Arabidopsis thaliana: one gene and its partner. The gene in region 1 interacts genetically with each later gene. Each region holds a gene or a part of one and is shown on either strand. Other genes may lie near its edges.

Evidence for each region.
Region 2: of ZTL (region 1) and PRR5, changing one suppresses a phenotype caused by changing the other (phenotypic suppression), as found in Arabidopsis thaliana (one study listed by BioGRID).

Annotation. Positions count from the first base shown.
Region 1 is NC_003076.8:23,235,319-23,252,535, forward strand, and holds ZTL (Galactose oxidase/kelch repeat superfamily protein), read left to right. Parts: upstream 1-6,108; 5' UTR 6,109-6,278; coding exon 6,279-6,523; intron 6,524-7,353; coding exon 7,354-8,897; coding exon of another isoform or gene 8,898-8,938; exon of another isoform or gene 8,939-9,005; coding exon 9,006-9,097; 3' UTR 9,098-9,272; downstream 9,273-17,217. Other genes in the region: HA3 (H[+]-ATPase 3), read right to left, coding at 1-7, 1,019-1,063; AT5G57370 (U4/U6.U5 small nuclear ribonucleoprotein), read left to right, coding at 9,493-10,152; VIN3 (Fibronectin type III domain-containing protein), read right to left, coding at 11,220-12,145, 12,209-12,513, 12,601-13,150, 13,430-13,496, 13,957-13,971. UniProt on the Arabidopsis thaliana protein: Component of an E3 ubiquitin ligase complex that plays a central role in blue light-dependent circadian cycles.
Region 2 is NC_003076.8:8,347,988-8,364,151, reverse strand, and holds PRR5 (two-component response regulator-like protein), read left to right. Parts: upstream 1-5,605; coding exon 5,606-5,831; intron 5,832-6,086; coding exon 6,087-6,248; intron 6,249-6,327; coding exon 6,328-6,458; intron 6,459-6,613; coding exon 6,614-7,068; intron 7,069-7,161; coding exon 7,162-7,771; intron 7,772-7,855; coding exon 7,856-7,948; downstream 7,949-16,164. Other genes in the region: AT5G24480 (Beta-galactosidase related protein), read left to right, coding at 1-321; AT5G24460 (RING-H2 zinc finger protein), read right to left, coding at 8,435-9,337; AT5G24450 (Transcription factor IIIC, subunit 5), read right to left, coding at 11,022-11,197, 11,330-11,369, 11,470-11,561, 11,912-12,113, 12,321-12,459, 12,845-12,913, 13,265-13,363, 13,436-13,607 and 6 more. UniProt on the Arabidopsis thaliana protein: Transcriptional repressor of CCA1 and LHY, thereby controlling photoperiodic flowering response. Involved in the positive and negative feedback loops of the circadian clock. With RVE8, forms a negative feedback loop of the circadian clock.

The DNA of each region.
Region 1 (17,217 bases):
TTTTCTCCTGCAATATAATATGAACACGATGTTAGACTAATTCAAATGGTGTTCAATAATTATGTATCTCCTACACCAATAAACAACCAAGTATGTTTTTATCTGTAGTACATCTTTTTTACAGATACAAATGTTAACCTTTTACAGTACTAAAAAAAGCAAAAAAAAAGAAAAAAATATAAGCATGCAAATTAATAGATAATCAAGATTATAATTATTTATCAAAGCATAAAAATATTAGATGACCAAAATTATGGAATGTTCTGTAGCTGTCGATGTCAGAGAATCTAAGGTGGGACCACAAGGCCTTGTACTTTAATTCGCTTATATAATAAGCCTAAAGGCCCAATAAGGCCCATTGTAACGGAAGATGTATTGATAGGGGCAAATCTGTCTATATAACATGGTATCTTAAATTGAGTCCAGAAAATCAGGTGAAGATTGAAGTTTAGTTTTATCTAGGGAAGTGATTAACCGATTGATAAGGCGATATTCCATGAGTATGAAAAATCCAAAAACGTAGTAATTGAAAACAGAATTGACTAAAACTTCTCTAAGAAATCTCAAAGTATACTCATTAAGATAGATCATGTGAAAGTAGAGAGTACTACTAATGTAATTACTTTTGCTTTATTTGGAAACAACTTTTACATAATTGTAACTAAATTTCTGGTGACTGCAAATTGTTTTAAATTAGTGCAGTTGCAAAATCTAATAAAAAAATAAATAAAGAAAAAGTAATTTTGAAAAAAAAGCAGAAAAACTGAAATAATTATGATAATATTAACACTTTTTCATGGATTCTTTTCTCATCGAAATCAAACAATAAAAATCTCATGCTAAAACATGAAGTCAATAGTTCAACGATGATGTAACGAGATTTGTGTACAACCCTAATTTGATCGAATCGTTAAGTAAAAAACAAAACCAAACTAAACTTTCCTCTCGTATATTCATTAAACAAGTTAAACAAACGAAACAAAAAAATATATACAGAGTAAAAAGAAGAAATCCATACCAAATCAACATTCTCGTTCACGATATCCTCGAGGCCACTCGCCATCTTCTCTCTGTGCCTTCGTTCAAAACCAAAAAATCGTTAAAACTTTGCACAAAACTGCGGAAGAACGAAGCAAATAAAGTAATGATAATGAAGATATATTCGAGACTTTAGAAAAAGAAGAAGAACAGAGAAAGAGATAATTCAAAGAGAAACGAACCAGATTCTTCGGAAAAAAGAGAGCAAGTGAAGGTGGACTACGTTAGGCTATTTGGTGGCTCTCTATTTATATGCCTCTCGTAACTATGCGACGTCGGTTTAGGTCACCCCATTTTTTTTATTCCCAGTCCAAGTCGAAAATATTTTATTCTGGAAAAATTATCATCTCTTTTTTTTTTTTTTTTTGTTAATTGAAGTATTATCGTCTTGTCAAGGAGGAAAGATTTAATATCATCACTTTGACTTGTTATGTCATTAAATATTAATTCATTGAGATTTCAAATTTGAGCTCTGTTAGTGAAGTTCACTGAGTAGGACAGTTTTGTCATATCATGTCCTATAGTATATCTCTCTCAATTTATTAAAAGGTTTCTTCTGTTTGTTGTCAAATAAAATTTTATTAATACAAAAGAGAAAGTCTTAATTCTACCTATGAGAAACCAACTACACCATTCAATATCATTAATTTACTATAGATATGTAATTTATCAAAAAACAAATAAATAGATTTCCTTAAAACTATTATATTATTTAATTTCTTTCAAGATTATTATGATAAACCTAAATTTAAATCATAAAATAATTTATGATTACTTTATTGAAAATTTCAGATTTTAAGCGTCTTTGATTATTTTTTTAATTACCTTGAGATCTTAAAAGATATATATTTTAGTATGACAACTTTTTACTTCCAATGATATATGGTTAAAAAAAATTAAAATATATCTAAACTGCCGTTAAAATGGTTGTTGTTGACTTGATGAAAACAGCTAACGGCGTTATTTTCTGGTAAAGGTGCTACTGTGCTAGTCATATTTTACGGTGATGGACCTGATGGTTCTGTTACTAACTTTAGTTACCATCAATGGTAAAAATCAGATGCTACAATAATATCCTGACACGTGTACATTCCTTTAGCTAGTATCGCGGAAGTGTAAAAAGACCGATTCTTGAAAATAATAAAATTGCATTTAAAGCTTTCAGTAGATTTATAGACAAACAAGGAAAAACAAAATAACCTTTTAGTAAATTTTCTTTGCTCTGACATGTACCAGAAAAAGAGAGGGTTAATGACATACGTTTATCTTTTTTTGTCAACGGTGTGAAGCATAAGATTATTCTTTTCTTCATAAATGGACAATCAATATACATAATTGTGTTCATATAAAACAAATCTATTTGAAAGTTTTTGTTGAATTCGGTTCCATATATGTGTAAGAAAAAGCATAAACGTTATTTAAGATCAATAAAGTTCTTATAGACAAATGAAAAATGCAACTTGTGGAATAACACTTGTTACTTTTTTATTAGTGAATCGATATGATCCAAACGTATATATAAACCGTCTACAATATATATTAATTTTCATTTATAGAAGTTGACTTGTTATTTCACAGTATTTTTCACTTTTGACGGTTTGAATCGCAAGCATTGGTAGTATAGTTACATCTATTTCGTCAGTCCGAGAGATTTTACTTGCTATATTGTCCATATATATGTTCTATTTAATTTAGTCTGTTTTTACTCATAGATGCTCTCAAAACTTTATAATGATATGTTTTTACTCATAACTCATGTTCAAAACTTTATAATTATATGTTTTACTCATAACTCATGTTCAAAACTTGTCTCTTTTTCTGTTTAAGTGCTTAGTGCACATCTGCCTACATAACAATCACGCATGTTTACACATAGAAATTGTGTTCAAAACTAAAGGGTTTTTCTCTATAGTAATATTTCTCTTTAACGTTTATCCCTAGGCCCTAGCAAGTAATATTTCTTTTCAATATGTAGGTATTCTACTTAGTTTAGATACAAATATAATTATGAAAAAGAATTAGAAATAAGTTGGATGGTGGGGACAGATTACGCAGCGTTGCAACATATGTAACGTGAAATGATGGTTCGTACAACCTCACGTACACAATCCACTCAAAGTGACGTAGTGTCTTTGGACTTTGCCTTCGATGCATCTCATGTTCTCCTGGTCCCACGATCCTACCTCAATTTTAGATCACACAAACCCATCCCAATTGCTTCATAAAGGTTGTTAGTTTTAGTAAACACACTCAAAAGTGTTGAAATTATAATATTACATATTTTGCTCAAAAAGAGCTAAGGCTTTTTAAATGTACAAACAAATTCTCTTTTGTTATATATTTCTAGATTTGTCTACTTTAAACGTATGATGTGTTTAACACTTCTTTCAACAATATACGTGTATGAATAAACATGTTTTCGACATTCCACTTATGTCAATATCAACACATAATTTTATGGCTAAGCAGTAACCACCAGCTGCTGTGTAAAATCACACTTTAAAAAAGTTTCTTTAGCCTACATCTCTACGATCATGATGCATTGGCAATAACAAGATGACAACAAATTTTACAAAACAATTCTCATACCATGTGGCTTAAGAGAAAAGGCCAGCGAATTTATTCGAACCCAACATATATAGTGAAGATGTCTTTTTCAATCTCTTTTTTTAACAAGTATACTTTTTTTTTTTGGTAAATTTCTTTTAGTGAATTTACTTTCATCTTGAATCATTCTTTTTATTTTCAATTCAGTTTTGTTGATAATAGATTTTCATGAACGAACAAGGTTCTAAGAGATAATAATAATAAAGGGGGAAACAAAACACATGATAATAAGAATCTAATAAACAAGAGAAAAAAGAGAGGTGATGAATAAATGTAGAAGTCGAATCATACAAGAGGTGCTTGTTGGAAGGTCGTTGGACCAACGCTTATTGTGATATTCATGTTCGTATTCTCTATGTAGGTTTTTCTTTATATCTTCCCAGCATATACGTAGTTATTTAAGTTTCTTAGAAAATTACTATACATTGAATATCTGAAACAATTAATCATGATATTATGGAATTTTTTTTCTTTCAAAATTTGTATAAAGAAAAAGGAATTTTATAGTGGGGGCATTTTAGCATCTCGTCGAAGATATGAATGAATAGAGAATTTTGCAAAGTGTAAAGAAAACAACCGACCAAACCCACTTGTTCTCTCACGTCCTTTTTATGTGTTAAATTGTCATACACAAAAAAAATATTTACAATTATAATTTTTCTAAAGTCTTTAATGTCAAAATTATATGATCTATTTATATCAGTAATACAAATGTAAATCGCTATATTTTATATTTTTGTTAAAAACTAAATACCATAATTTAAAAGAAATATTTTCTTTTTCTTTTTATTTGCGAAGATATTGTTTAGTCGTATGGCATTGTATTAGTTACTTACTTAGTAGTTTTACAGAACGAGGTGAAGAATGTCGGAAAAAAGAAAGAGGTGACGAAGAATTTTGACCAATTTGCTACTTTGTAAGGGAAATATAATACAAAAAAATTGTATTTAGCATCATTACAAACAATTTCTCCATTTTGTTTTAACTTTTACTATCAATTTTATTATTTTTATACGAAACTTATAATTAATAACACGAGGTAAGCCTGTTTTGTTAAATTGAGTATGTCAATTCATTTCATGAGATAATAACCTTCAAATAAAGTTCATAAGATAGTTGCCCCATATCGGTAACTTAGGCTTATAAAACAGTCTTATTATTGGTGATATAAAACAGTACTTAACTACTTATATATAAGTACTTACAACTTATTCTTATTATTGTTGATATAAAACACTAAAGTTGGGTTAAATCTTAATTCCAATTCAGCTGTTTGATGTTGGTTTAAAAGTCTGTTTGCACCTATGATTCTATGATATACCGAACCGATTCGATTAACCAGTAGTTACGAGAAGTTATTTGTTTCAACTAACTATCTATTGATTTGATGTAACTAGTTTGGTCCTCTGCGTATAAAAGGAACATTACAGAAGAGATTAAATGATAGGCAATTGATAATTGAGACGGTTCAAGAAAAGATTTAGCAACCAACAACCTTAACAAATTTTCATTTACGTAACTATAATTATAGATCTTGCTATTTTTCCATTTTATGGCGTCTTCTTATTACGAAACTCATACTATTCAGTCACATAATCTCATTTACTGGACTATAATGGGCTTTATTGTAATGGGCTTTATTGTAAGACATGAGCCCACAAATTTGGAAAGTAATAAGCTTCAGCTCAGCTAAAGAGAGTCTAAAAACCAAAGGGAAAAATGTCATTAAAATCCCCAACTTATTGAAAAAGTTGATTTAAATCCTCAACTTCCAACGAAACGAAATAAATATCAAACTTTTGTTGATTTTCCAAATAAATACCAAATTTTGGTTGACTTTCCAAATAAATATCAAACTTTTGTTCGAGTAGCCATATTAAGTATGACATTAACAGACCCTGTTATTAGAGTCCATTTTTTGTTAACAGACTCGTTAATTGAAAACGACAATATTCCCTATAACAATAAAACAACGTCGTTATGTCATAAATGCTCAATTAAATCCCAATTTCAAATCATATGAAGATTTAGGGTTAGAATTTTGCTTGATTTGGAGATTTAAGATTGGATTTGGGAATTTAATTCGGTCGTTATAATAAAACGAGGTCGCTTTCTTGTTATAGGAAACAATAACGTTTTAAATTAACGGATCTGTTAACAGAAAATTAACTCCGTGAACGCAATATGTTAATCTACTTAATATTATACCTAATATGACCATATATACGAAAGTTTGGTATTTATTTGGAAAGTCAACAAAAATTTGATATTTATTTCGTTTAGTTGGAAGTTGATAATTTAAATCAACTTTTTCAATAAGTTGGAGATTTTAATGACATTTTTCCCAAAAATCAAGGGGAGTTTTATGGTTTTATCTACTTGACCCGACAGAGAAATCCGGACCCGGATAAAATCCGACCCGTTCGAATGAACTCATACGGCCGAGATTTTTCCACCAAACTCGACGGTTACCACTCGTTTCTTTGTCCACCATCTTCTCTCTCTCTCTCTCTCAACCCCCGAAAATCTCCTTTTCCCAAAATTTTCCGATTATCTCACGCCGGATTGTTTTTCAATCGCCGTCTTCATAATCTCCGGCGACTGAAATCAGTCTGGTAACTATTTGAATTTTCATGGAGTGGGACAGTGGTTCCGATCTAAGCGCCGATGATGCTTCGTCACTGGCGGATGATGAAGAGGGAGGTCTTTTTCCCGGAGGTGGACCAATTCCATATCCCGTTGGGAATTTGCTTCACACGGCGCCTTGTGGATTCGTTGTTACTGATGCCGTTGAGCCGGACCAACCTATTATATATGTCAACACCGTCTTCGAAATGGTTACAGGGTATCGTGCTGAGGAAGTTCTCGGAGGAAATTGGTTAGTTGTTTTTTTGTTATCTTTGTGATTAGTGTTCTAATTGATGCGAGGAATTTCTATTTTTGGTTATTGGCTCACTTTACCAAATTTTGGCTACTTGGTGGAGTTTGATTAAGGTCCGTTTAGTTTGAGGATAGGTGAGGAATGTTTGTGATGATGGTAATCTGAAGGACACTCTATTGATCACTAGATTTAGTATGGATGGATACTTTGGTGGAGAGAAAACAAAGATATGTCTATTGTTAGATAATCATTAGAGTCTCTGCCAAATGGCAGAGAAGACTCAGTGGAGTCTCTGTGTGTGCCTAAGTATTCTCTGCCTTCAGATGTTTATTCAGTGATTGTAGTTTTCATATTAATCGAGCTCTCATGGCTGTTTTTGAGCTGTTTCAGCTGCTCCGCATGTTAAGGAAACTTGAAAGTGTATATAGATGCCGAGATAAAGCGAGCTATCCCTGTGTAGTTTCTCGGGGTCGTAGCGAACACAATAAATTCTTTACAATGTTGATGTGCAGTGAACCAGTGAAAAGGCTAAGTCCAATGCGTTTAGTTGTGTGTTAGTTTTCCATGAGAGAAGTGCTAGTAGCTTCCTTTATTAATAAGCTTTGATCTTACAGGAGGAGCTGATCAGTTCAAATAGTTGTTATTCTTGAACAGAATGAAAATCTGGTTAGGTTATAATTATGCTTGTTTGGTGTATTTGTTTTTTTTTTCAGTCTCTACATGCACGGCCAAATATTTTGTCTATTGCTTTTCCGCATCAGTAAGTTGGAGATAAATTTTGTTTTTGGTCTTATATTGTTTCTTAATTAATTTCTCGGATTCTGCAGCCGCTTCTTGCAATGTAGAGGACCGTTTGCTAAAAGAAGGCATCCATTAGTTGACTCTATGGTTGTTTCCGAGATAAGAAAATGTATTGATGAGGGCATTGAATTTCAAGGCGAGTTGTTGAACTTTAGGAAAGATGGATCTCCGTTGATGAATAGATTGCGGTTGACTCCTATTTATGGAGACGATGATACTATTACCCATATAATTGGAATCCAGTTCTTTATCGAGACAGACATTGACCTTGGACCTGTTCTTGGATCTTCAACAAAAGAAAAGTCAATTGATGGGATATACTCAGCTTTAGCTGCTGGGGAGCGGAATGTTTCCCGAGGAATGTGTGGGTTATTCCAGCTGAGTGACGAGGTTGTGTCTATGAAGATATTGTCACGCCTGACACCAAGAGACGTTGCATCTGTTAGCTCTGTGTGCCGCAGGCTATATGTGCTGACAAAGAATGAGGATCTTTGGCGAAGGGTTTGTCAGAATGCATGGGGAAGTGAAACAACACGGGTATTAGAGACTGTTCCTGGTGCTAAAAGACTCGGTTGGGGCCGCTTGGCTAGAGAACTGACCACCCTTGAAGCTGCAGCTTGGAGAAAACTTTCGGTTGGAGGTTCTGTTGAGCCTTCTCGCTGTAATTTTAGTGCTTGTGCTGTCGGGAACAGAGTTGTTCTGTTTGGAGGAGAAGGTGTGAATATGCAGCCTATGAATGATACCTTTGTTTTAGATCTGAATTCTGATTACCCTGAATGGCAACATGTCAAAGTGAGCTCCCCTCCTCCAGGACGCTGGGGCCACACGCTCACTTGTGTAAATGGCTCCAATCTGGTTGTATTTGGTGGCTGTGGTCAGCAAGGTTTGCTGAACGATGTGTTTGTCTTGAATCTCGATGCTAAGCCGCCTACTTGGAGGGAAATTTCGGGTTTGGCTCCGCCTCTACCAAGATCATGGCACAGCTCATGCACCCTTGACGGAACCAAACTGATAGTCTCTGGAGGCTGTGCAGATTCCGGCGTTCTTCTAAGTGACACGTTCCTCCTCGACCTTTCAATAGAGAAACCAGTGTGGAGAGAGATTCCAGCTGCCTGGACTCCGCCTTCCCGGTTAGGCCACACACTATCGGTTTATGGAGGAAGAAAGATCTTGATGTTTGGTGGTCTTGCTAAGAGCGGGCCTTTGAAATTCCGTTCGAGTGATGTCTTCACAATGGATCTAAGCGAAGAGGAGCCTTGTTGGAGGTGTGTGACCGGTAGCGGAATGCCTGGAGCAGGAAACCCAGGAGGAGTAGCACCACCACCAAGGCTAGATCACGTTGCAGTTAACCTCCCTGGAGGCAGAATCTTGATATTTGGCGGCTCAGTGGCAGGGCTTCACTCAGCGTCTCAGCTTTATCTACTTGACCCAACGGAGGACAAACCGACTTGGAGAATACTAAACATTCCAGGAAGACCGCCTCGGTTTGCTTGGGGACATGGCACTTGTGTTGTGGGAGGAACACGAGCGATAGTGCTAGGTGGTCAGACCGGAGAAGAATGGATGCTAAGTGAGCTACACGAATTATCACTAGCGAGCTATCTCACGTAACCAAAGAGAGCCTATGTATGAAAGAGAACCCAGCCATAGAAGAAGATGAAAAAGGGTTCTCGGTTAGGATACTGGAGCTTTAGGGGAGAGCGACTCAGTGGTGGGACTTTGGTACTGCTCATATTTTTTAAGTCCTTCTTCTTCTTTCTTCCTCATTAGGAGGACTTTTAGTGCTTATATAATATATATAGTGAAAATGTCATCTCTCTCTTTCTCTCTGTAGTGCTTGTTTCTGTTGTTCTCTTTGAAGTTTGAGAAGTGCATTTGTGTTCATATTCTGTAAATTTTATTTATGATTACAAACTTTAATAAGATCCTTTCTCTTCTTATGCTATTGGACCACTATTTTCATTTCCAATTTCATACTTTTAGTTCGGAGACAAAATGAGATTATTATTATTTTTCCATTGAGTATGATGAATATAAGAAAATTGGAAAAATAGAGGATAAAACCCCAAATTTTCATTTTAATAGAAAAAATTGGGGAAGAAAATTTACAGTGTTGAAATTGGTTAAACCCTGACACTAGCACCTTCCTCAGTCGCATCACCACCATGTCAGAGCGCGACCGCCGCGAACGAGAGAGGGATAAGGACCGTGAACCAGACCGTGATAGACGCCGAGGTAGAGACGACCGTGACCGTGACCGTGATCGAGACCGGGAAAGAGATAGAGAGCGCGACCGTGACCGAGGGCTTAGAAACAAAAAATCCCGATCTCGTACTCCAGACCACCACGCTCGTGCTCGCCACGTGCGCTCTCCGGAGAGGTATCGCTCTCGTTCCCGCTCGATTGACCGTGACCGGGACCGGGACCGTCAACGACACCACAGGCGCAGGTCTCCTTCTCCAGATGCTCCGTCGCGAAAACGGCCTCGCCAGGGTTCAGTAGACGATGAGAAAGAAAGGAATCGCAAAAGAGTAGTGACTGATTCCGTTGACGAGAATGCGTCTACTATTACTAAGAAGAAGGATAAACAACCAAGTGATGCTGCTGATAATGGCGGAGGCGAAGATGAAGAAGGAATGGATGTGAATGAGATTGAGATGATGAAGATGTTAGGGATTCCTACTGGATTTGATTCCACAAAAGGCAAACCAGTTGCTGGTGCTGATGTTAGTGGTATTAGAGCTGTAACTAAGCGTCAGCCAAGACAGTACATGAACCGTCGCGGTGGATTTAACCGTCCTCTACCGGCCGAGCGTAATCGCTAGTCTTCTCAAGGTTAGGCTTTCCACTAAGCTTCCCAAGTTTTTGTTCTATCAATTGGAAGATAGGTTTAGCTCCTATGTGTAGTATGATTAAATTAGATAGGACTTAGTTCTTAGACTTGTTGGCTGCATTAGAAAATGAACTCATCAGCATCTTTTCAGATAATGGATTCTAAGTACTCATCAGGTTCAGCATTTTGCTTTCTCTATATTACTCACTTGTTTTGCTTCTCAATCTAGTTCACTGGTGGTTGTTTAGTTAGATCTATACCAGAGATCTTTGTTTCAGGTGATATCCTCACAAGCTCTATATACAGATAGTTCACTCGGTTAGTTTTGTTATCTGCATGAAGAACTATTTTAGTTAATCCAGAGGAAATGGAACCAGTCTTGTGTTTTTTAGTTTTCTTGCCTTGGCACATTTGAATCTGCATCTTACAAGATCAAGTTGTGCGAGTTACTGCGTAAAACCGATCATTCCACCTATGTGCTGGTATTTACCAATAGGTCTCAACTCTCAACAGCTGAATTTAGAATTTACTTGCCCTTGGATCATTTACTCTGATGAGATTAAGCAGTTTCGGTTTTTCTGATTATTAACTAGAATCTTTCGTGTCTCTGCATCCAGTTTTTGTTTTCGCATTGATCGATTTCTGCTCACCAACCTTTGAATATATCTTGCAGGTCCCTCTAACGCTGTCTTGAACACTAGTCAAAAAGATGAGGGCTAGAGCTGCATTTCCCAGATAGTAGTTACTAGTTACTCCAATTCTTCCCCAGACTCTGTTCTGATGTCTTATAGAGAACAAACTTGTACTCTCTGAATTTGGTTGGAAACAACTCGTGAGTTATTTCTTTTTCGAGATTTAAAAATGTTAATGTTTGTGTGTAATCTCCCGGCTCTAACTGTCAGACTATGGTTCATTTGAAATCAGGCTTATTCATTTTTGAGTTTTTCACTAAGCATCAGAAAGAAATTGGAAATGCGTACTTACATAATTTCATTCCAAAATTATCGTTATGGTTTACAATATCAAGCGAGTTAATAAATAGACCGATTTCAAAAGCTTTTAATGCCAAAGCTTGAGGCAGATCCCAGCAGGTACTACACCATTTGTCGATGATCTCTTACTCAGTATACTTTCTGAGAATGTATCCACAAGCTGTTGTCCCAAAGAAGACAGATCCTCCATAAACGTCTCAACAAAGATCTTCACAACTCTTACTTCTCGGTGAGTAGCTCTTAAGCTATACCATGTCAAGAACCTTTCCCTAAAACTCTTGTCTATATGTCCTTCTTCCTCTAAACATCTAATCGTCTTAACAATATGACCCAAGTCTTTATCTCCTACTCCATTTGCGGCATTATTGATCTCAGGTTTCTCGTTCAAGGATACTGTTCTTGATTTGAATCTTTTATTCCCTCCTTGCTTTCCTTTATAAATATCTCTCTTGCAGGGTGTTACAAGCAAGTCTCTTCCATCTATCTTGTTTGCTTTCCTCTTTACAAGCCTCTCTTCTTCAAGCTCAGATTCTACTTCTCCTGCACTACAGTGTTCAGTGTTGTCCTTGTCACCATTTCCTTTGCTGCAGCTTTTATTGACATTATTAGATTCATCTTCTGGTAAAGATGGATTACTACAAAGACCACTGCTTGAGTTTGTCAAAGGGCTTTGCTGGTCCCCAGCTTCATCTCCATCATCCTTCAACGTTGTGAACCGAAGCTCAGACTCATCTAAGTCACCTTCCTCGTTAAAGGAAACCACTCTGAGACAGAACTCGGTGTCGGGTTCAAGTCCTTGGATGGCAGACGTCGTCTCAGGTAGATAAACAACACAATTCCCCTGAGACGAGCATTCTTCGTCCTTCGACTTTCGACAAAACAACCTGAAACCTGTGATCTTGTTTTGTGTAGAAGAAGACGGCTCCTCGGAGTCTACTCTCACAGTGACTGATCTTGCTTGAATCTCTTCTACTCTCACGGTCATCTTGTCACCTAACAGGAACTAAAGTCAACATCTTCGGTTTTAAAACCAAAGTAATGTATGAACACACTAACCTTGTCCTGAAACAGATTCTGATGGTGAGACCACTTTGTCCAGAGCTTCCATTGCCTGAGAACACAGCTTCTGGACATGCACACCCGAAGAAAGTCTATTGACGATGCCTCGAGCCATCTTCATGGCCCAACCCGACAACGGACCCACATCACCTTCGAGCTTCTTCACCGCCTCATCCATAAGTTCCAACAGATTCCGATACTTCGTGGTACCTCTCAACAGCTTCTGTCCTAAAGAAAGACGATAACAAAGTACATCCACACGCCGCGTCTCTTTCGCCACCTTCACTTGTTTTCTCCAGCATCTGTAAGCACTCGCATACACACACATTACATTACATTCTCTTTTCATTGTAGTATATCCATAGATTTCAATATCTAAAGATCCTTACCCGAGCAAGTCATTATCTTTACCGCAATACGCGCAATAAAACCTACCATCAAGATCATCACTCCCAATCCCATACCTATCTTGCTTCAAACCACATTCCAAATGACAAGACGATCCACAAGCATCACAAGTAAGCCATAAACTAGGATCCTTATTATCATCAAACTTTTGACAGATGCAGCAAGAACACCTTCTGCAAAACGTATCATCGCATCCAAGCGCAGCTCTACAAGCTAAATTCTCACAGCAAATGATGTAACCGATCATCTTCTTCTCCTTCTTCCTCGAGTTTCTACGGTCAGAACAAGAGGTCTCTCCAAGAGGACGAGACACAAGATTCAGAAGATTCTCTATGAGCTTTGGTTTGTTAAGACCAGTGTACTTCCTTTCTTTACCCATCTCAGCACATATGATCTTCATGATCTCATTTCTGCTCCATGAATTCAAAAGCTCCGAAGCTTCTTCAGGCTGGTTAGACAATGCGTGGATCAATTCTCTCCTTTCACTTACATTCAAAACGTTTGGTTTACAAGTCTCAATGCATTCATTATCTGCACCATAAAAGACCAATCCTTTAGCCCTAGATTCTCCTCAAGATAAAAAGGAGAGGATCACAGATTCTGACTCTTTTTGGGGTAAAAATGATCAAAAGTATAAAACTTTGAATGAATCTCAACAACCCAGAAACGAAATATCAACAATGACGACGAATCCAATGCGAGAAATAAAACGTTTGTTGATATTGTGTAAAAACGTCGTCGTGTTAACGACCTAAAACGCATGAAACTAGGAACAGTGAGAGAGACGTTCACGTCGAGAAAATATCGTACCTTCAAACGAAGAAGAATCCATGTTCTCTGGACCCACATTACCATCGAAACGCCAGATCTTTGAGAGCTGCCGAGATCCGATTTCACACAAAAGGTTCAATTATGTCAAAGTTAAAGCAAGAACCAAAAAAAATAAACCATCACAACAATCTGACAATAACACTTAAGTACAGACAAAAAAAAAATTCTCAAAGATGTAACACTTACGATGATGAAGAACACAAGATCGAAAAAAAAATTCAGATTTTATCGATTTTCATTTTGAAGTTATAATCTTTAAACAACCAAAGAGAAACCCATGAAATACACTTTGTAAGAACCTATATTTGTAACTATTAGACAAAAGATTCGAGGATGACTCAGTCTTAAGAACAAACCATTGAGAATTTTCTTTAATTAAAATAAACAAATACTCAGAGAGTAAATATATATGCAAAATTAGAATTGGTTGTTGTTCACCGAATGAGAAGCCTTCAAAAAAAAACAGCATACAAAGAATATTTATATAAAAAAAAAACGCTGTTTACCGAAGCAGCTTGCATTTTTTTTTTGTTTGTCGTTCTTCGTGTTCTTCGTTTTTTTTCTCTTGATTTTTTTTTTTGCTAGGTTTATTTTAGAGATCTTTTATGGGGATTTAGTGAAAAAGGAAAAGATGTTTCTGTGATGGATGGTTCTTCTCTCTCTCTCTCTCCTTTTGTTTTTTCTAGATGTTTCTAAGGAGGAAACCCTCTGATGGATGAAACTTCTGCTCTGATGAGAGCTTTTTTTTTTAAAGTTCTTTAGAATTTTGGTTTTGTGTATTTTTTAATATTAAAAAAAACGTTGGAAATATCTTCACGTGCTTTGGAAGATATTATATACGCAAATGCTTTGATTTGACCTGTAACCAATGCTGGACTTATTGTATATACCTTTTCTAGGATGTCGCTTATGACTCACTACTATATGTTCGAAATATTACGATATGTAAAATCATTTTTATTTACTATCATAAATTTTATAAATCTTTTTATTGAATTTAATAGTTTGTTTATATACAAGTTTTTTTTTTTTTTTTTTGAAAATATTATTTTTTCTTTTATAAGAAGAGGGGAGAAGAGATTATGATAATGTTGATATGGTGTATGAACTATCGTGTACAAACTTCGAGTAAGTCTTAAACAACAAAGTTATTAGTTTATAATTTCAGAATTCTGAGTTTAGATTTTGTGACAAGGGTTTTTAGTTTTTGTGAAGTTTACAAAATGCAGATCTCTTAAAAACTTTCACATATTTTTGTTTTGCATCATCTACGTTAATTTGTGATGATTAGTAGTATTTTATTAACAAAGTTAAACATCTAGTATTAGTTCAAATTTTCAAAATCCACAAAACGTTAACAATAAAAGAAGGTTAATATTCTATATATAGATTATCATATGAAAATGAGAAGTTCCGTTAGATTAAATTATGTTTTCTAAACCAACTGATGTAAAAGATTTTCTTAAATAACTGATTACTTTAGTTCATCTTTTTTTGTTTTTTGGACATCTTTAAATCGAGTAGACTCGATCTATAGTCAATGGATTTTTTAGGTGAAAGTTTACTAGAGGGGATAACGCTTAATGGATTCAAATTTGGGTGGAGAAAACGGAGTCAAGTAAACTTAATTCATCTTTAAAATTTAGTTCATCTACAAATACTTTAATAGTACAGTTTAGTAATACAACTTGTACTAGACAAGTACTAATATAGCCATTAACAATTTTAGTTTGCCCATGAAGACGGTCGGTCCAGATACCAAAAAAAGCGATTTGCCAAAAGTTTTTTTTTTGAATTAGCATCCCATGTAAAGAATTTCTTCGACTAATTCTTTTGGGACGAGTGACTTTTTGCCAAAAGAAAATTAAGAATCCACATTCGATTAAAAATTATGTTAGAATTCATGAACGAGTGATTATGACAAAGATACATGCAATAATTGTAACTTAATTTTGTAATAGAATTCCATAAACATTCACATGATATATCTTAACCCAAGTTATTTCAGGTTAGTAAGTTGTATTGTGGATCAAAAGAGGATTTGACTAAAATGTGCAAAATGAGCATTATCATGTAAAGAGACGGGACAGGGTGAGAAGGGGTGGTGGAGGTAGGGCTAAACCAGTTAAAAGTCCGCATATTTTTAGTTTTGACATGTTCGATCTAAGTTTTTCCAACTGAATAATTAGAGTGTTTGGAGTTAGGGTTTAGATCATAATTTATTGTTTAGATATAAAAACAAAAAATCATCAAATGAGGAAGAAGAACAATGCTATTACATGGTAAAAACGTAAAAATCCATATGAAGTTTGTAACATATATAACATATTCAATGAAAGGTTCTAATATTGTATCGTTGGCCTTCGTGGTATAAGAAACAAATAAACTGCGCTAGAGCAAATAAGTTAGAGAAAGTTCACTTGCAGTGGCATTTGAAAACAATTGGAAGAGAGAAATGTGCTAACACTTGGACATGAAGAGAACATGAACGAAAAGGAAATCATGAAAAAGGTTAAATGTTAGTTACTAAACATTATGGATGCAATTATGGTTTTTCAAAAGTGTTTTATGACCAACTAATTGTATATTCGATCTTGATAATAATTTGTGTGGTCTCGTAAAAATGTGATGAACATTTATGATGATTGATTATTGGGCTAGTGTAAATCAAGAAACGGGCGTTCTATCACGTTGATTATTTCAGTAATCTGCAGAAAATAGTATACTCGTACACACACACACACTCAACGAAGGCAAGATATGAAGATTTGTGTTTATCGATTTAGCCCATTGAAATGAACAATAAAGGGAGAATATAAGAGAGACATCTATAATACTTATTAGGCTACGTAGATGTTGTCAATTAATTAACTACTTTGGATATATGATTACTTCTTTAGGCGGCTAATCGATATTTAATGGACCTATTATGTTCTTTTCCTTGACATGGTAATCAATTTATACCGCAGTTCATTACTGTATTTCTGCATTAATTACCATTGCAAAAGCTAATAACTTTCTTTTTTATAAAAAAAAAAAGCTAATAACTTTGAGTATATATAGTCTTCATATTTTTAACTGTGCTAACAAACAAAATAAAATGTTTCTCTCTCTGTTTTCAGATTTTGACATCTGAAGTTTGTTTTTCCGACCGCAACGACAACAGTTATTGATTCAACCGTATTTGAGCTGTAGTTAATCACATTGACCATATTTCAACAACCACAACCATTTGATGATTTTTTTTTCTGCCAACCACTTGGTAACTAATTTACCAAACATAATGTTTTACCGCAATTTTGTCATCACATAAGCAGAAATAGACAAAGAACTTAAGGACCAGCTCAGTTTGGCATATATCAAAATTGTTGCAATAACAAGCGTAACACTCACAATGCCAAAAGGAACAAAGAAAAACACAAAAGTATATTAACTGTTTATTAAAAGAAAAAGGAAAACACAATGTATGAACAAATACATACACGCACATAACATGTATGTATAGTCATAGATATACTAATAATCACTTTGAGCAGATGGATCTTGTTGTGCATTGCATTGAGAAAAAACAGGCCTACGCTGGCCTTTTTCTTCTAGGGTAGGAAGATTTTCGTTGGTGATGGTCATCGTGGTGCATTGGTTTGACATCTTACGCTAAACTGTTCGTACGATCTTTTGGACACTTTTACATCTACCATTTCTCCTCTGTCAAAAATAAACAAACTTGACCACAAAATATACGATTTATCATCTTACGTAATCCAAAC
Region 2 (16,164 bases), about 15 Mb from region 1:
TTAATCCTAAACCTAGAGCCCCAAACCAAACCCGAAAAAACCTTTACCTCCCATGAGTCTCCACCATTGGTCCTTACGTCCTTATTGCGCTTCGTGCCGGCAAGCCATGTGGCAAAGGACACATTTTCAAAGTCAAAAGATCAAGTTTTCTTGATCGTGACTACACCAAAGCTCCCTGACTTGGTCGCGAAAGTGTCTATGATACATCATGAGGTCATATGTGGCTTGTTGTTTGATTGCTTCTGTCTCTGTTCCTCTATGGATTATAAAAGCTATCGACCTTTTCTTGTTGTTAATTCTAGTTCTCTGAAGTTGTTGTAACCTTTTTATACTCGAAAATTTTGTAACCTTTGCTCTTAGGGGATAAAATGAATGAAATGCAAAAGGCTTGTTTGACAAAAAGAAAATTCATAAGTGATATCGCAACAAGATATCGACCAAAATCTTCATTACACGTCATAAGCATGCACCAAGTGATGTCAAGGATAAAAATCTAAACAATGATTCATGAAAGGTTATACGGTTTTTAAAAAAATTAGTATTGTATTTTGATTTTTGAGCTCGATTACATATTAAGATTTTGTTTTCCGTCAATAATAGTGAGAATATATGTGGACAATGCTTTTCTTACTAATTCAATTTGGTCATTACTTTATTTTGTGTTTTGTTTTCTTCTCAACATAGTTTATTTTATATGCGTGTGATTTAGTCATTAATTAGCTAACATAATAATTGATTATGCTAACTACAGTATAACCTCTATAAATTAATATTTAATAAATTAATAATCTGTATAAATTAATAAAAAATTTCGGTCCCGAGTTGGTACCAGTGTAAAAAATAACACAAATCGATAAATTAATAAGATTATACTTATTTTAAAAATTCTATGTAAATATATGGTCCCATTAATAACATAAATTAATAATTGAAAAAAAAATTTTAAAATATATATATGTTATATGTTAGAAAAATTAGTAAATTATGAATTTGCTATTATTTTTATTTTTATTATACTAATTCTTGGCAATGTTCAATTTTAATATTTTTACTACATCGAAAACACTTTTTTGTTATTTGATAGACACAATAAGTTATTCTTATTTACAATTACTTTTAGAAAAATAATGATTATAAATAAAACAAAATTATTTCAAACTCAATATTTTTTTAAAATTATAAAATTAGTCTAAACTCTCTATAAATTAATACTTCTATAAATTAATAGAAATTCATGGTCCCAACATTATTAATTTTAGTGATTTGTTTAATCTTTAATCAAAATTATAAGTAAGAAACAAAATATGTGTCAAATATACTAATTACAGTAAAACTAAAACCTCTCTAAATTAATAATATTGGGAGATTAATATTTAAAGTGAAAATTTTAAATTTTGTTATTGTAAGGCATTTCACAATAAGATTTTTAAAATACACTAGTTTAGACAATATAAATCATGTAATAGTAATATTTTGGATACTATCAATCTTGCATCGGTTTAGAAAAATAATATTCACAATAGATGATAACAAATTGAAATTGATTGTACAAAATTTGTTTTATATGATATGCACTGTATTTTAATGATTTTTGTTGTAAAAATGACATTTATTAATTTGTAATAATGATTAATAATCTCAATCATCGTAAACAAATAGATAGAAAAAAGCTATTGCATGTTGGGATCTTGAATAAGCTTAGGAATCACGGGTTTTGTGGACAATTAGAGATCCATGTGTTGTTGGCTATTGTAAACTAACCATGAAATTCATTCAAATCATCCATTCCAAAGAGTTTTGTTTTTTACTTAGTGACATTCCTATTTGTTTTTGGGTTAATCTAGTAATAATTAGACATTCCTATTTGTTTTTTACTTACTGATTCTTTTTTCCTTCTAATAATATGTTTTAAATTTGGCATTAGTATTTATTATAGTACGACTTGTCTCGTAGAAACTAAGCATTTTCCAATTACATATTCTTTTTTAGATCCTTCGTTAGCATATGCAGAGCTGATCTTCGACACATCTGGACACAGCAGGATAAAACATTTGCTGTGACCTCCATTTTTTTCAGCAAAGCTTATTTACAAAGCATCCTTTATTTTACTCATTTTCCAATAATTGCCCCAAATTTTTTAACCTTCTAACTTAACCTTAAATTTTCTTTTTTTGAGTTTTGACCCACAAAATGTCAGGGCTGGCCCTGAACATATGTATCAAGGTTTCTTCTAACTTGTAGTCGCCTACTGCTACATACAAGGAACATTAGGGCTATTAGGAAATAACAAATCTAAGGTATATCTTTATTGATCAAATCTACTATAGTTTTGGTTTTTATAGATAAAAATAATTTATTAATTTAAGATTTTGTCACGCATCATTTTTATAAAGATATCTTTTCAAAAATATCTATCTAATATTACTAACCCATTATATTACTATTACATATCAGTGAAAACATTTAACCATAGAAAGACAAAATTCATTTGTGGTCTAGATAGAACAACATGTTGATGACGATTAAATATATTAGATGGAATTGACTCAAAAAAAAAATCATTACCTAAAACATCGGCAAAACATTGTTTTCATGCAACTCAGCAAAATTAATTTGAAGTTTTTTTATCCACCATGATATCAATATCGGCCTATCTCAAGATTTACATATAATCTTTAATTAGATTAACGGATTGGTTAGATTATCTAACGTAGATAATGTTTGATTGTATGGATGTTTTGAAGACCATTAATGCCAACTAGCTTAAGTTTTTTGGGAAAATGGATAAGCCATTAGCCTTTTTGTTTGTTTGTTCATAGAGCAGACCATTAGCCATTTATGATATTATAAGATGGAAATATCTCAAGTGGCCTAAAAATGAAGAAAAACATCATACACATACTGTAAAGAACAAAAAAAAAAGGAAATATCAAAGTTGGCCACACAAAAAGAGAGGCCATGGAAATATCACACAGACAAAAAATATCTGTTTGAAAAAAGATGGAGCATGTTCAGTGTAAGTTAGGCCAAAATATCTTTAGATTTTATTCCTCAAGCCAAAAGTCATTGATCCACTACACTTCAACACCGGTGCGTAGAGCATCATCCAACCAATTAATCAAACATTTTCTTTTTCTTATATATCGTTGAGTTATTAGTCAATTGTGGTTATTACGCTCGTCTGTATATCATAGGTTCGAGTTCAAGTAATTTAAAGTTTGGGCGACAAAACAAAAATAGTAAAAAATTTGTTTCAAAGTATCATGTTGTGTAGTTGAATTTTAATTTTGCCCCACATATTATCTTTTTGATTAATAAAATAAATATACTTTCAAATAGTTGTAATTTATCAAATAAGTATTGATCATAGAACAGTGATTACTTTTAAAAACAGTTGCTAATGTTTTAAAAATGTAATTCTTTCTCGAATTTCGTACTTTCTATTACATATTATAAAAAAATAACTTATTATTTAGATACCACAGTAAAGTTGTTATCCGTAAAAATTATTTGACATTATATATCGTTATCATCATTATACAAATTTTTTTTGATAATTCAGATGATTTTAATGGTTTTTTATGTCCAAAGAGTAATCTTCAAGCCCGAAAAAACTATGTTAAAATTCGAACTTCGGTGACCAATATTACTGAAATCCAAATGACGAATAATTATTTTCTGGTTTATTATTGGACGAATGCGACTTAATTATTTTGTCTATTTTATATCATTTCTATTAGCAACATCATAATAAAATTTCTAATATATGCTGTCAATTATGTGACCAGCAACAATATAGTAAAACAATGTTAATTAAACCCATCTAACAACAATAAAAATTTGTCACTGACATAGTTTTCCTATATAGCACTTATTTTTCTTTTGTCAATAAAACACGCCGGCCTAAACCTATTTCTCAGTTTAACGCATGAAGTGCTAGTACAAGGAACTAAACCACCTGGCTTATTATTAACCATTTTCTTCATTTGTTTGATTGATCATTACACTAATTGTCCTTTTTTATTACCTAGTAGTTTACTAAGTTTGATTAAGAGAAGAAAACCATAGGGTCCAGTCAATAAAAAAGAAAGTCATAGCGTAGGACAAGACTCTTGTTACAAGAGAGCGAGTAGGAGAGATATATTACACTCGCGGGCGCGTAAAGAGACAAGGAAAAAAGAAGATATTTAGTCTCTGACAGTGACAGCTACCATTTAAAGGTGAAAGACTGTGTCAGATAATAACCATACACGTGTCATATTCCTATCCACCAAAGAACCACGAGGTTTTTAAACAAGTGTCTCTAATCTAATCCCACCCAACAACAAAATATCTAGCCGCGGAAAATTACTTTAAAATTCATCACCCTTTGTCCCTACTCTTGACTCGTGCATGTTCCATTTGATTTATTCCACCACGCAACCAAAATAGTAGCAATAGAAAAAACCAAAATGTTGATAAAAATTTGGTAAACTATGAATCTCTATGATCGATATTCATTTGTTTGATTGTTCCATTTCTTTTCTAATGCAAATCAATATTAAAGTGTTCTTATTTCGTGACTAAAATATATGGCTGGCCGAAAAAATATAAAATAATATATGACATTTGCTATTAGTTAGCACCAGTGATCATTTGGTGTAAGCAAATGTTTTTTGTGCCAAAAAATAATATTGAAATATATGTATAATTAATTCATTAACAAAAAGTTCTTATTTGTTATTTCAGAAAATAAATTATACCATGTGTCCTTGATTTTCTTATGTGAAAAAAAATTGAAATATCCTTATTGTTTTTAAAATAAACAAATTGCAAACCTATGTACCAAACAGAAAATAATACAATTGTTTTTGGATAAATTTGTATAGATACTTTTTCCCACTAGCATTAGATATTTTTTGGGTTTGGTATTATCCCAAAAGTCACGAGTGGGATTTTTATAGGTACTCAAAAGCTAAAATGTCTGAACAATAATATAAAATACATTTTAAAATAAAAGTAAAATTTAGAAGCATCAAATAAGTAATAGTTTCAATGTTTAGTGTTGATCTCTTATTAAAAGAAAAATAAACAAGAAATTCACTAAATATTTCTCCATCACAAATACATAAACATCAATTGCAATAAATATTTTGGTAAAGTATAATAAAAAATTAAATCCAACTTTAAATATGAACCACATAGAAAAACCAAAGGCTAGCCACCACACCAATTTTTTCTTAAAAGAAGGTTATTTGGCGTATTGGATCTCTTTTGTCTCGTATACAGTATTTTGCTGATGTGGCAAACGTGGCCACGTCAGCCAATTCTACTAGATATTTTTTCAAATCCAAATACTCTTTCCACAACCGTTAGATCATGGTCGGTTCGCCACCCACTTTCAATCATAACCGTTAAAACATTCGCTAGATTTTTTCTAGATATTTTCTTTTCTCCACACTATTATAGAAAGAATAAAGTTCTTTTTTTTGCTCTCTTCTCATTTATCTCTCCACTCACAAATATTTTGATTTGTTTTGTAACTGTTTCTCTTTCTCTGGAGCTTTCTTCTTCTTCTTCAATAATCGATTTAGGTTTTTCAAAGCTAAGTGTTTGTGTTGTGATAATGACTAGTAGCGAGGAAGTAGTTGAAGTGACGGTGGTTAAAGCACCTGAAGCTGGCGGAGGAAAGTTATCACGTCGGAAGATTCGGAAGAAAGACGCCGGTGTTGATGGTTTGGTGAAGTGGGAGAGATTTCTCCCGAAAATCGCGCTTAGAGTTTTGCTCGTTGAAGCTGATGATTCTACTAGACAGATTATCGCTGCTCTTCTCAGGAAATGTAGTTACAGAGGTTAGTTTCTGGTTTCAATGCTTGAGATTTAGGTTTTGTTTGTATAGAATCTGAGAATTATGAATTCGATTGAGATGCTAATGTTTTGAATCTGATTCGCGTGCGGCTAAATGTTACAATTCAAAGTCAAATTTAGAAAAGTCAACGATTTTTTTGTCGGTTTTGTGTTCATATAGAAATCTTTATCAACGCTTAGTTTCTACAACAAGCTAAAAGGATTTGTATTAATGTGGTTTGGTTTTGTGTATTGATCAGTTGCTGCAGTACCTGATGGCTTAAAAGCTTGGGAGATGCTAAAAGGAAAGCCTGAAAGTGTTGATTTGATATTAACAGAGGTTGATCTACCTTCAATATCTGGATATGCTCTGCTAACACTTATCATGGAGCATGATATTTGCAAGAACATTCCTGTTATAAGTACGTTGATATATACATCTTTTTCTTCCATCGTTTTGAAATGATTTTTTGGCTCATTATGTATTGTTTTTTTTTCCAGTGATGTCGACACAGGACTCGGTGAATACTGTGTATAAGTGTATGTTGAAAGGTGCGGCTGATTATCTTGTTAAGCCGTTGAGGAGGAATGAGCTTAGAAATCTTTGGCAGCATGTCTGGAGAAGACAAACTGTATGTTTCATATCCATCTTTTGTTTTAAGCTTTATGTGTGATGAATTATCTCTACAACTTAAACCCGTTCTTATATAAGTTCTGGGAAATTTCGTTGTCTTGAAAAGATGATTGAGTTCTCAGATTTGTTTTTGGTTTTGATTATCTTTTACAGTCACTTGCTCCTGATAGCTTTCCATGGAATGAGAGTGTTGGACAGCAGAAAGCCGAGGGTGCGTCTGCAAACAACTCGAACGGAAAGAGAGACGATCATGTTGTGAGTGGGAATGGTGGTGATGCCCAGAGCTCGTGTACAAGACCAGAGATGGAAGGTGAGAGCGCAGACGTGGAGGTTAGTGCGAGAGACGCAGTACAGATGGAGTGCGCAAAGTCTCAGTTTAATGAGACACGGCTTCTAGCAAATGAGTTGCAGAGTAAGCAAGCAGAAGCCATTGACTTCATGGGAGCATCGTTTAGAAGAACTGGACGACGTAACAGAGAAGAAAGTGTTGCTCAATACGAATCTCGGATAGAGCTTGATCTTTCTCTGAGAAGACCTAATGCTTCTGAGAACCAATCTTCTGGAGACCGGCCTTCTCTTCATCCTTCTAGTGCCTCAGCTTTCACACGGTGAGTTGTCTAATTTCTCAATTCTTCTTTCTATTAATCGTTCAATAGTTGTCGTTCTTTCTGCTGATTGTGTGTGTTATGTTCTTGTTGCAGGTACGTTCACAGGCCGTTGCAGACACAATGTTCAGCCTCCCCAGTGGTTACTGATCAAAGAAAGAATGTTGCAGCAAGTCAAGATGATAACATTGTGCTAATGAACCAATACAATACATCTGAACCGCCTCCAAATGCTCCAAGAAGAAACGACACCAGCTTTTACACTGGAGCTGACTCACCTGGTCCACCGTTTAGTAATCAGCTGAATTCTTGGCCGGGACAGAGTTCATACCCTACGCCAACCCCTATCAACAATATACAGTTCAGAGATCCCAACACAGCTTATACATCTGCAATGGCTCCTGCTTCACTCTCCCCAAGCCCTAGTTCCGTTAGCCCGCATGAGTACAGTTCCATGTTTCACCCATTCAACAGTAAACCCGAGGGGTTACAAGACCGGGATTGTTCCATGGATGTAGATGAGAGGAGATACGTCTCTTCTGCAACCGAACATAGTGCAATAGGCAATCACATTGATCAGCTTATTGAGAAGAAGAACGAAGATGGCTATTCATTATCCGTCGGGAAAATTCAGCAATCTCTTCAACGAGAAGCCGCTTTAACCAAATTCCGAATGAAGCGAAAGGACAGATGTTATGAGAAAAAGGTAAAAACTTAACTTCGATGGTTCCATCACATAGATGAACTCATAACGTAATGATACTAAAGGAACCTTTGAATGACTTAACAGGTTCGTTACGAGAGCCGGAAGAAATTAGCAGAGCAACGACCACGAATCAAAGGCCAATTCGTTCGTCAAGTCCAATCCACACAAGCTCCATAGTGATCCAACAAATTGATATATTATATACAGTTCAATTTTGTATCATCAACTAGAGGAATTTTGTTTTCTCCGATGCAGGAGCTGTTCTTTGTACAACTAATTCCACATACGTTAGATTTGGTGACACATTTGTGTGTACATACACATCTTTCGAGCTTGTTGTTGAGTTTTAGTTAGAATCTACGTTAGATCTGTAACTACATACATTTGGATTACGTTTCTGTAACTTGCAAGACGAATTAGAAAGATTGACAAAATCTCAGCTAAACAAATTTCAGCACAAAACAATGAACTCGAAGAAGATAAGCTATAGTGAGATCAAAACTTCTGGAGAATAGTATCCACTAACACAAAAATAGCCAAACGAAGAAGATGATTATGAACATATATAAATGTGTATATGTATCTCTACATGGCTCTCTGATTATTCATGTATCAAAAGCAAGATTGATAAAATTTGTGAAAAGCTTTGTTTTGAGATTTTTTTTAAGATCGAATCGAATCAGGACTAACCCATTTCCAGTAATGTCGTTTCACAGTTACAGCATTCCCAGCGGCGAGTGTTTCAACCGAATCTTTCGTCGAGTCTCCTCCCTCGTACTCTTTTTCCTCCGTACAGAAATCTTGCTCCGGTAATCCCTCCACCGTTGCATTCACAGAGTGAAGAGCGTAACGCGCCGGTAATCCTGGATACGATAGCGAGTTCCTTTCTTCAACTCTTCTGTTATAAGTTCCGGGAAGAATCTTAATTCTCTGTCCAATGTTATCACCATCGCCATTGAAGATAGATCCGAGCTCTTCTTTTATGGCGCGAAAAACTGCTTCGTCGGGAGATTCTTCAGGCTTCATTTTCTCTGATAAAGGACGAAATCTTTCACGAATACTCCCATCGGATAATTCCTGATGAGCTTCCACTAGGATTCGTCCGTTTTTTCCGATTACTCGAACGGTGACGACGTTGACGGTGCGTACTGGAGGAGTTGAATCGGCGAGAGAAGTTTCGCCGTCGGAGAGTTCTAGCCAGAGGTTATGAACGTTTTTGGTTCCCGGTTTGACTCCCCAAGCGGCGAATGAATCGGAAGGTAATCGCGATTCGAGCCAATCGGAGAGAGATTGAGGATTAGCGAAGCGTTGAGTAGGAGGAGGAGGAGGAGGAGATCGGCGAGACATGGCGGTGATGGATCGACGGCGAGGATTTAGAGGGAAAGAGAATCTGTTCGGAGGAAGAGAGACTAGAGGTTTAGGAGATGACCAGAGGAAAAGGAGAGAGACCGCCGCGAGGAAAATATCAGGTAAAGCGGAGGTGACGGTTGCGTTACGAGGCCGGTGGTTGTTGATGTTACGGCGGTTAACGAGTGGTGTGTGCGGCGGAGATGGGCCAACGAACATGTCAATTGACCAAAATACCCCTAACGATCGAAACCAACTCTCTATCGTGGCTCATACTCGTACCGAAGAAGATTCAGAGAGGCCTATTAATAAATAAATAAGACCAGAGAAATAAATATGAGGAAGAGATTGTGACGACGATTATTCGCATATCTAATCTTTAATAACTAGATTCTCTTTAATTGCACAATGGATCTTATCTTTTTATAATTTAACTTTTTACCCTTTAGTTTTATTTTTTACTAGATTCTCTTTAATTTGCACAATGAATCTCACGTTTGAAATTACAATTAACCGTTACCTAATCCTACTATATTATTTGGAAAGTATATTTTATATATAACCTTAACTTTTATAATTAATTACATAACAATGCCATTAGAAAAATTTAATCAAAAACAAAATCCTTTTATGACGTCATTAAGGTTACCAAAATCATTTAACGACAATATTCATCTCTTAATTATAGGGCTTATTGGATCTAAAGACGGGTCATCAAAGATTTCCTAATCTGAAGCAAAATATACTGAATATTCAAATATCTATCTGTTACCAAATTATAAACAAATAAGTTCGTAAAATAATTTCATATTTTATATACGAAATCAATTAAATCTTAATTACATAAAAATTAGCAAAAAAAAAAGTATTCAACAATTAAAAATTTATCAAATCTCTGTGTTACATAAATTTTGATACTATATTCGAATAAAGTGTAATATACCTTTTCAATTTGTATTCTTTAACTAATTTAAGCTAACTAATATATTTGCTAATCTTATACCTATCAAAACTAACTATCGTTTCTTATCTCTATAGTATTTTTGCAAGACCTTTTTGGTGGATTTGGGTAAAAGTGCATTCGGGTCATATGATACATTTCCCTATTAAATAAATATGGTGCACTCCTATGTTATTAGCTAAAATGTTTAGATTATAATTTAGAGTCATATCATAAATAAAATTAATATTAATAAAATAAATGGCTTTTTGGCAAGACGAATTTGGAGAGACGGGTTTTTGAATCAACATTAATAAAAAATTAAAATATAATTAATTAACCGTTTCAATACGGATTAAATCTTTAATTTATTATTTTTTTAAGACCACTAATACTAAACATATCAAATCATCATAATTTAAAAAAAGATTATATAAAACCAAAAATGATATGTTTGTATGTATAATGTTACTATATATAAAATTAAACTATAAAATATACATGTATTAAATGTATTAAACAATGATACAATTTGCAAAATTTATATATATAATTAATAATTCTAAAATTTTAAAAATTACTACTTTAAAAAAAAATCACGGGATGGGTGAAGAAATTACAAAACGGGTTTTATTTTGGAATTGGGTTATATGGTGGATGTATTTGAATCAATATTTATAAAATTTGAAAATATTGTTAATATGTTGTTTTAATAAGGGTTAAAACTTCAATTTTTTTAACAATTGTCTCATGGATTCGTGGTATAGCGTTACTTAATAACAATTATAAATTGCAAAATATAAATATTTTATAAAAATAAAATTTGCAAGTTTTAATTTATATTACTTTTAAAAAATAAATCGTCCCGCGGTATACGGGGGTTAAAATCTAGTCTCTTTACATTTAGCTACACACACCGAGTTTCGTATTTACAATGTAAATACACGTTATATTCAAACTTCTTCACTCATCATCCTCCTCGTCATCGTCGAGAGCGTTGGATTCTTGCTCGTAAATCGGATACTCTCCATCGCTATCATTATCATCATTGGCACTACCATACAAAGCTGATGCGCTGCTTGGAAACCTATTGAACAAACCTTGCAGATAGGTTCTGGAGTTGTTCTCCATGTCACCATCTTATCATTGTTTAAGAAAAACTTTAAACCAAACCAGATCAAGCTCTAAATTCTCTCCTAATCCCCTAGAATCTGCATGTACTAATGACTAATTGGTGCTTATGTTATGAAAGTTTATGCTTTGAAGGATACATCCATGAGAACTTATTGATATGTCATCATCATTTGCAGCCTGCAACACAACACATTAGATTAACAGAGAAACGATGAACAAGCCTTTCGGGAAAACTAATGGGTGAAGTAAACAAGAAGTAGTTTGTAAGCATGGTTACCTCCTCGTATTCATCATCCAAGTCTTCAGAATCCTCATCCGCATTAACATCATCATCTTTCTCCTTGTTTGTGTTTTTACACTTTTTCATATCTGCGGATAATTTTACACCAACAACTGTTAATCCATACTTCTTTTAAGGAGAATGTGTTTGATGACAAATGATAATAAGCAGAGCATGAGATGTATGACAATATAAAATGCCTGCCTCATTCGATTTTGGCTGGCACATGTGATTGTGCACCCTTATATATTTACTTACAAATTCGTCGTACAATATGTCCAACAAATTAACTCCAGTCAAGTTCACCATGCTTTAACACAATTTTGAGACCATTGAGATTTGAAAAAGAAGCACTTGGCTCCATGCATGTCAACAATCACTAACTAGGCTGCCTAACATGTAAAGATGAAAAGAACTGAAATTGCTTTGTCTATCTTACCTTTAGTTGTTTCCTGGTGATTCCGTTGACTTGGTTGCAGTGCATCTTTCTGAATACGTGTCTTTTCAGACCTCTCAAACTCTTCTTGAATAGATTTAAAAACGTCTTCGAAACCTGGCTCAGGAAACACAGATACAAACCTCACAGCTACACGGAGTCTCAAATTGTCAAGCAGCGCTTCAGAGAACCATCCTGTTTTATACTAGCAACAAAAACAAATCAGTACAGATAACCAAGACCTCACATAAAACAATTTTCCACTCAATATATCATTTGTGTGTGATTGATGACGCAGTGTTTTGGTAGTGGTATTTTTTGCAAGTGCATGTATAGGTTTGATCTGTAATAAGCAAGACTCTAATTTTTTTGGAATCTACTTCATTAACAAAAGCTTTAGCTGATAACTCACATTACAAGTAGTCTGCTTGGGAGGCTTTCTTATCTCTTGTTGAATGTACTCATCGTCAAGTTCAAATAACTGTAGAAATGTTTGGCATTTGAAAGGAAATACTTTAAACGCACAAATGTCATCCCAGCTTGGCTTTGACCTGTCACAAATAAGAAAGAAAGAAAACATCACCTTTATAATTGGACCGTTTCTTCAAACATATATCCAATGTTTTATTTGCAATTTCTCCATGTAAATTCATATATATGTTCCCTGAGAAACTATCTTGAAACTGTTAAAAGAGAACATTTAGGTTGCTATCCTCGGAAAGTGACTGAAAATCGGAAAATGACACGTTTCTAGAGAATTCAGACACACTTCGCATTGTTTTAAAAATTATAATGTTCTCATACAATTGACCACAAATCAATACTTGCAAAGAAAATGTTATCATGATATATGTTTATCTGTCCATATATATTACAAATTGAGAATCTTGAGTAGAAAAATATCTTGAGTTTACAAGGAAAAATGGAAAATCTTACTTGTTAGTTGCATTGGAATCACAATAACCCTTTAATTCAGGTGGAACCCTGAATTCCATTCTCTGGAATCTGAAAAAAACAAAATATAAAAAAGGTTAGAGGTGAAGAGGTTTGACATACAGCTGCAGTCTGGATGCAGGAAAATATGAACTACAGAAGAAAATTTCATGTCAAGCAAGTTTCCAAAACCCGGATAATGTCAGCACCAACACTTTCTGCATTGGAAGATAAATACGCTCTCAAATGAGCCAAGTAGAATATGTATCATTCTCGAAACACTTTGCAGAAGACGAGGAAGTTCAGAGGTGTAAAACCGGCCTATTTCTGTTCTATTTTGAGGTGTACAAATGACAATTCTACATTACCGTGTCATAGACCATGCATTTGTAATATGAATAAACTTAAAGAGATAGAACTCACACACGAGATTCAGGATCTTTCCGTGGATCATAGCCTCTTTTAATCCAGAACCTAAGAAATGGACCACCCGAGAAATAATATGCAGCCCTAAGAAGAAACCTGCAGAGAAAACTCCAGAAAGTTGGTTATTGCAGTAATAATACACATAAGAAATGCATAAAATTTGTTCACCTGTTTAACATATGATGTGTGCATGTAAGACCTTTATCGAGTAGTCGTTGGACTATGGAATCTCTTGTCCACACAGGTCGCTCTTCAAACAATGCAGACACTGCTACCTGCCATTTCCATTGGTTGGAGGTGGGAACGATATAGTCTTCCCATTTTAATATCTTTGGGATCTGTATGAATGCTAAGGACTGATCAAAGATATCCAAAATGACAAAAATCATCAAACAAACATGGCTTCATACTCAGCAATAATAAGATTTGGAAGATTAGTAAAACGGAGAAAAGGATATCTTTGACACTAAAATCAATTGCAAATACTGGGCCAATATCTATCTGCATCATCAGTAGATCAATTAGCAAATGGAGAAGTAACAACCACAAGTAAACTGTCATGGAATCTTTAACTATCAATATAAATAAACAGAACAGCAGTTCCCTCAATGTTTTAAAAGTGTGAACTGCGAGCTTTTACATGCTTCAGAATCATTAACTCTGCAACTACAGGCTTTAGAAAAAACATTTGCAAACTACCGACATTCCTGTAAGAAAACCTAAGCAGAATCCACCTCTTTCAAGTCTCAAACCTTACCGTTACAGACTTGCAGTAATTAAGAATTCCATTTTACTAGTTACAGAAAAAGAAAAAAGCTTGCCATATCAGTAGATTATATGTTTGAGTCAATTTTTTCCAACAGTCTGATTTAAGTTTATCCAGAAACGTCAAATGGTTTCATTTCTTGTTTTTACCTCATAAAGATTCTGAGTTAGTTCCTCATCTTTCTTTTTTGGGCTTGATGTTACTGGAAGTCTCAGCCTGTGAATCAAACAACGAAAGTAGAATTAACAATAGAACTTCTAAAATTATAATCAACTATGTTCTCCTTCATTCTTAGTTATAGGTTGTTTTGTAGGGGAAAAATAAGAAAGTTTAATCTTACACCAGGTTGTCTGGCCTATCTTTGGGTGAAAAGAACTGTGGCAATAACATCATTACATCTTCATCAGCCATGTCCATTAGATCATTTTTTCCTGCATGATACTCGAGAGGATTCATTTTAATTTATGTTATTACAGCTAAAGATTTGCAATATAATGAAAACCAAATGAATGGAGACAAACACCTGCAAGCGACTTCACCTCCATCCATTTTCTCTTCTTCTGCTGTGCAATATCAGCGTGAATAGGAATTACATGCTGGTAGTCGACCATGCCTTCGCAATACCCACATGAATAAGTATCATTTTAAGCCAAGGCTCACTGTATAAGACAAGACCCCAGAAATTGGAGAGAAATATTCTTACCATCAAAGCAATACGATTCAGACACACGAGCTACAATATCAGCACATAGAGCTGGGCGCACTTCTGGTAAGCATGCATCGCTAGTGGAAATAACAGGTTGACTTTCAGGCAGAGAATCTTTCTTAACATCCTCCTTCGAAATTTTTAACAGAAAACCATTACAATGACGTCGTTCTCCATAGGCAGGATGTGCAGAAGGGTCTTCAGGGCGGAAATGCAGCTCAAGCTTGTTTGACGTTGATTCTCTTGCCTACGAAAAAAAAACTTTCAAAGTGATTAAACCGTCCAACCCTTGTGTACAAGTTTGCTACTAATCAAGTTTATGTTTTACTTGTCGAACATTTTAGAAATGTGACCAATTTGCTAAATCATGGAATGCATCAAGCAAAAGAAACCCAAACAACGCTACAAAAGAGCTATATGGATAATCAGCATACAAATCAGGGATTCCTAGTAATAACTAGCAGGCAAAGAAACAAGAGTCTTAGGAAAAGGCTTTACGGTTGTGATTCCTTGGATTCCCCCGAGAGTCTCCACGGCTCGGGAAATAGATGATGGATAGCCAGGATAGTGAACCACAAACGCCTCCTTGCTAGGCAAGTTACCCGAGATAGTTCCGTTTTCAATGATTCCCATTGTTTCTTTCCAAGTTGAAACTTGCTGTGATACAAGAATCAAAAGAGATAAGTTATTACCTAAAGTGGTAGACTTTTATTCCTCTCATAAATCAGAAAATGTAACACGAACAAGATTGAAAGATTTTCACTGGGACTATCCAAAATCCCAGTGAATACAATAACATAGCAAACAATTTGTCTAGAGCTGATTCCGGTAGAGAAAGAAAACACTGAGCAAATCGCACCAGAAGCAAATTGAAACACGAAACCTTTTAGATAGTTAGAAGGTATTGAAGACTATAAGCTTAAACAAGTTCGAAACCATGGAAGAGAGAACGATGCAAGTATAATGGGAAGACTCTAGTCAATACGATCCAAATACGCAGAGGTGTTAGAGAGAGAGAACGATAGTATACCAGAAGTAGCTGTTAGGGATCGGAATAGATCTCAAATTAAAGTCAGACCAGACGGCGGTCCGGAGCGCTGGAAGAACATACGGCGGTGGGAGAAGAGCCACCGAAGCTTTTGCACGGAAACTATTTCCTGTTCTAAATGGCGAAATGCTAACGTTGTCGTTTTCAGAATATCGGATCGAATTGGGGTCAAATTCTGAGAGACACTTGGCCGACCGGTATTGAATTGATTAACCGGTTCGATTTTTTTTTTCTCTCTTACCAAAACTAGATAAATAAGATAGAGATAATTAAAAAAATAAACAGAATCCTATTAATGTAATAATAACTTTATATGTAGTAAGAAAAAAATGCAGAAATTGTGCTGACACAAAGAAAATTTAAATAATTATAATTTA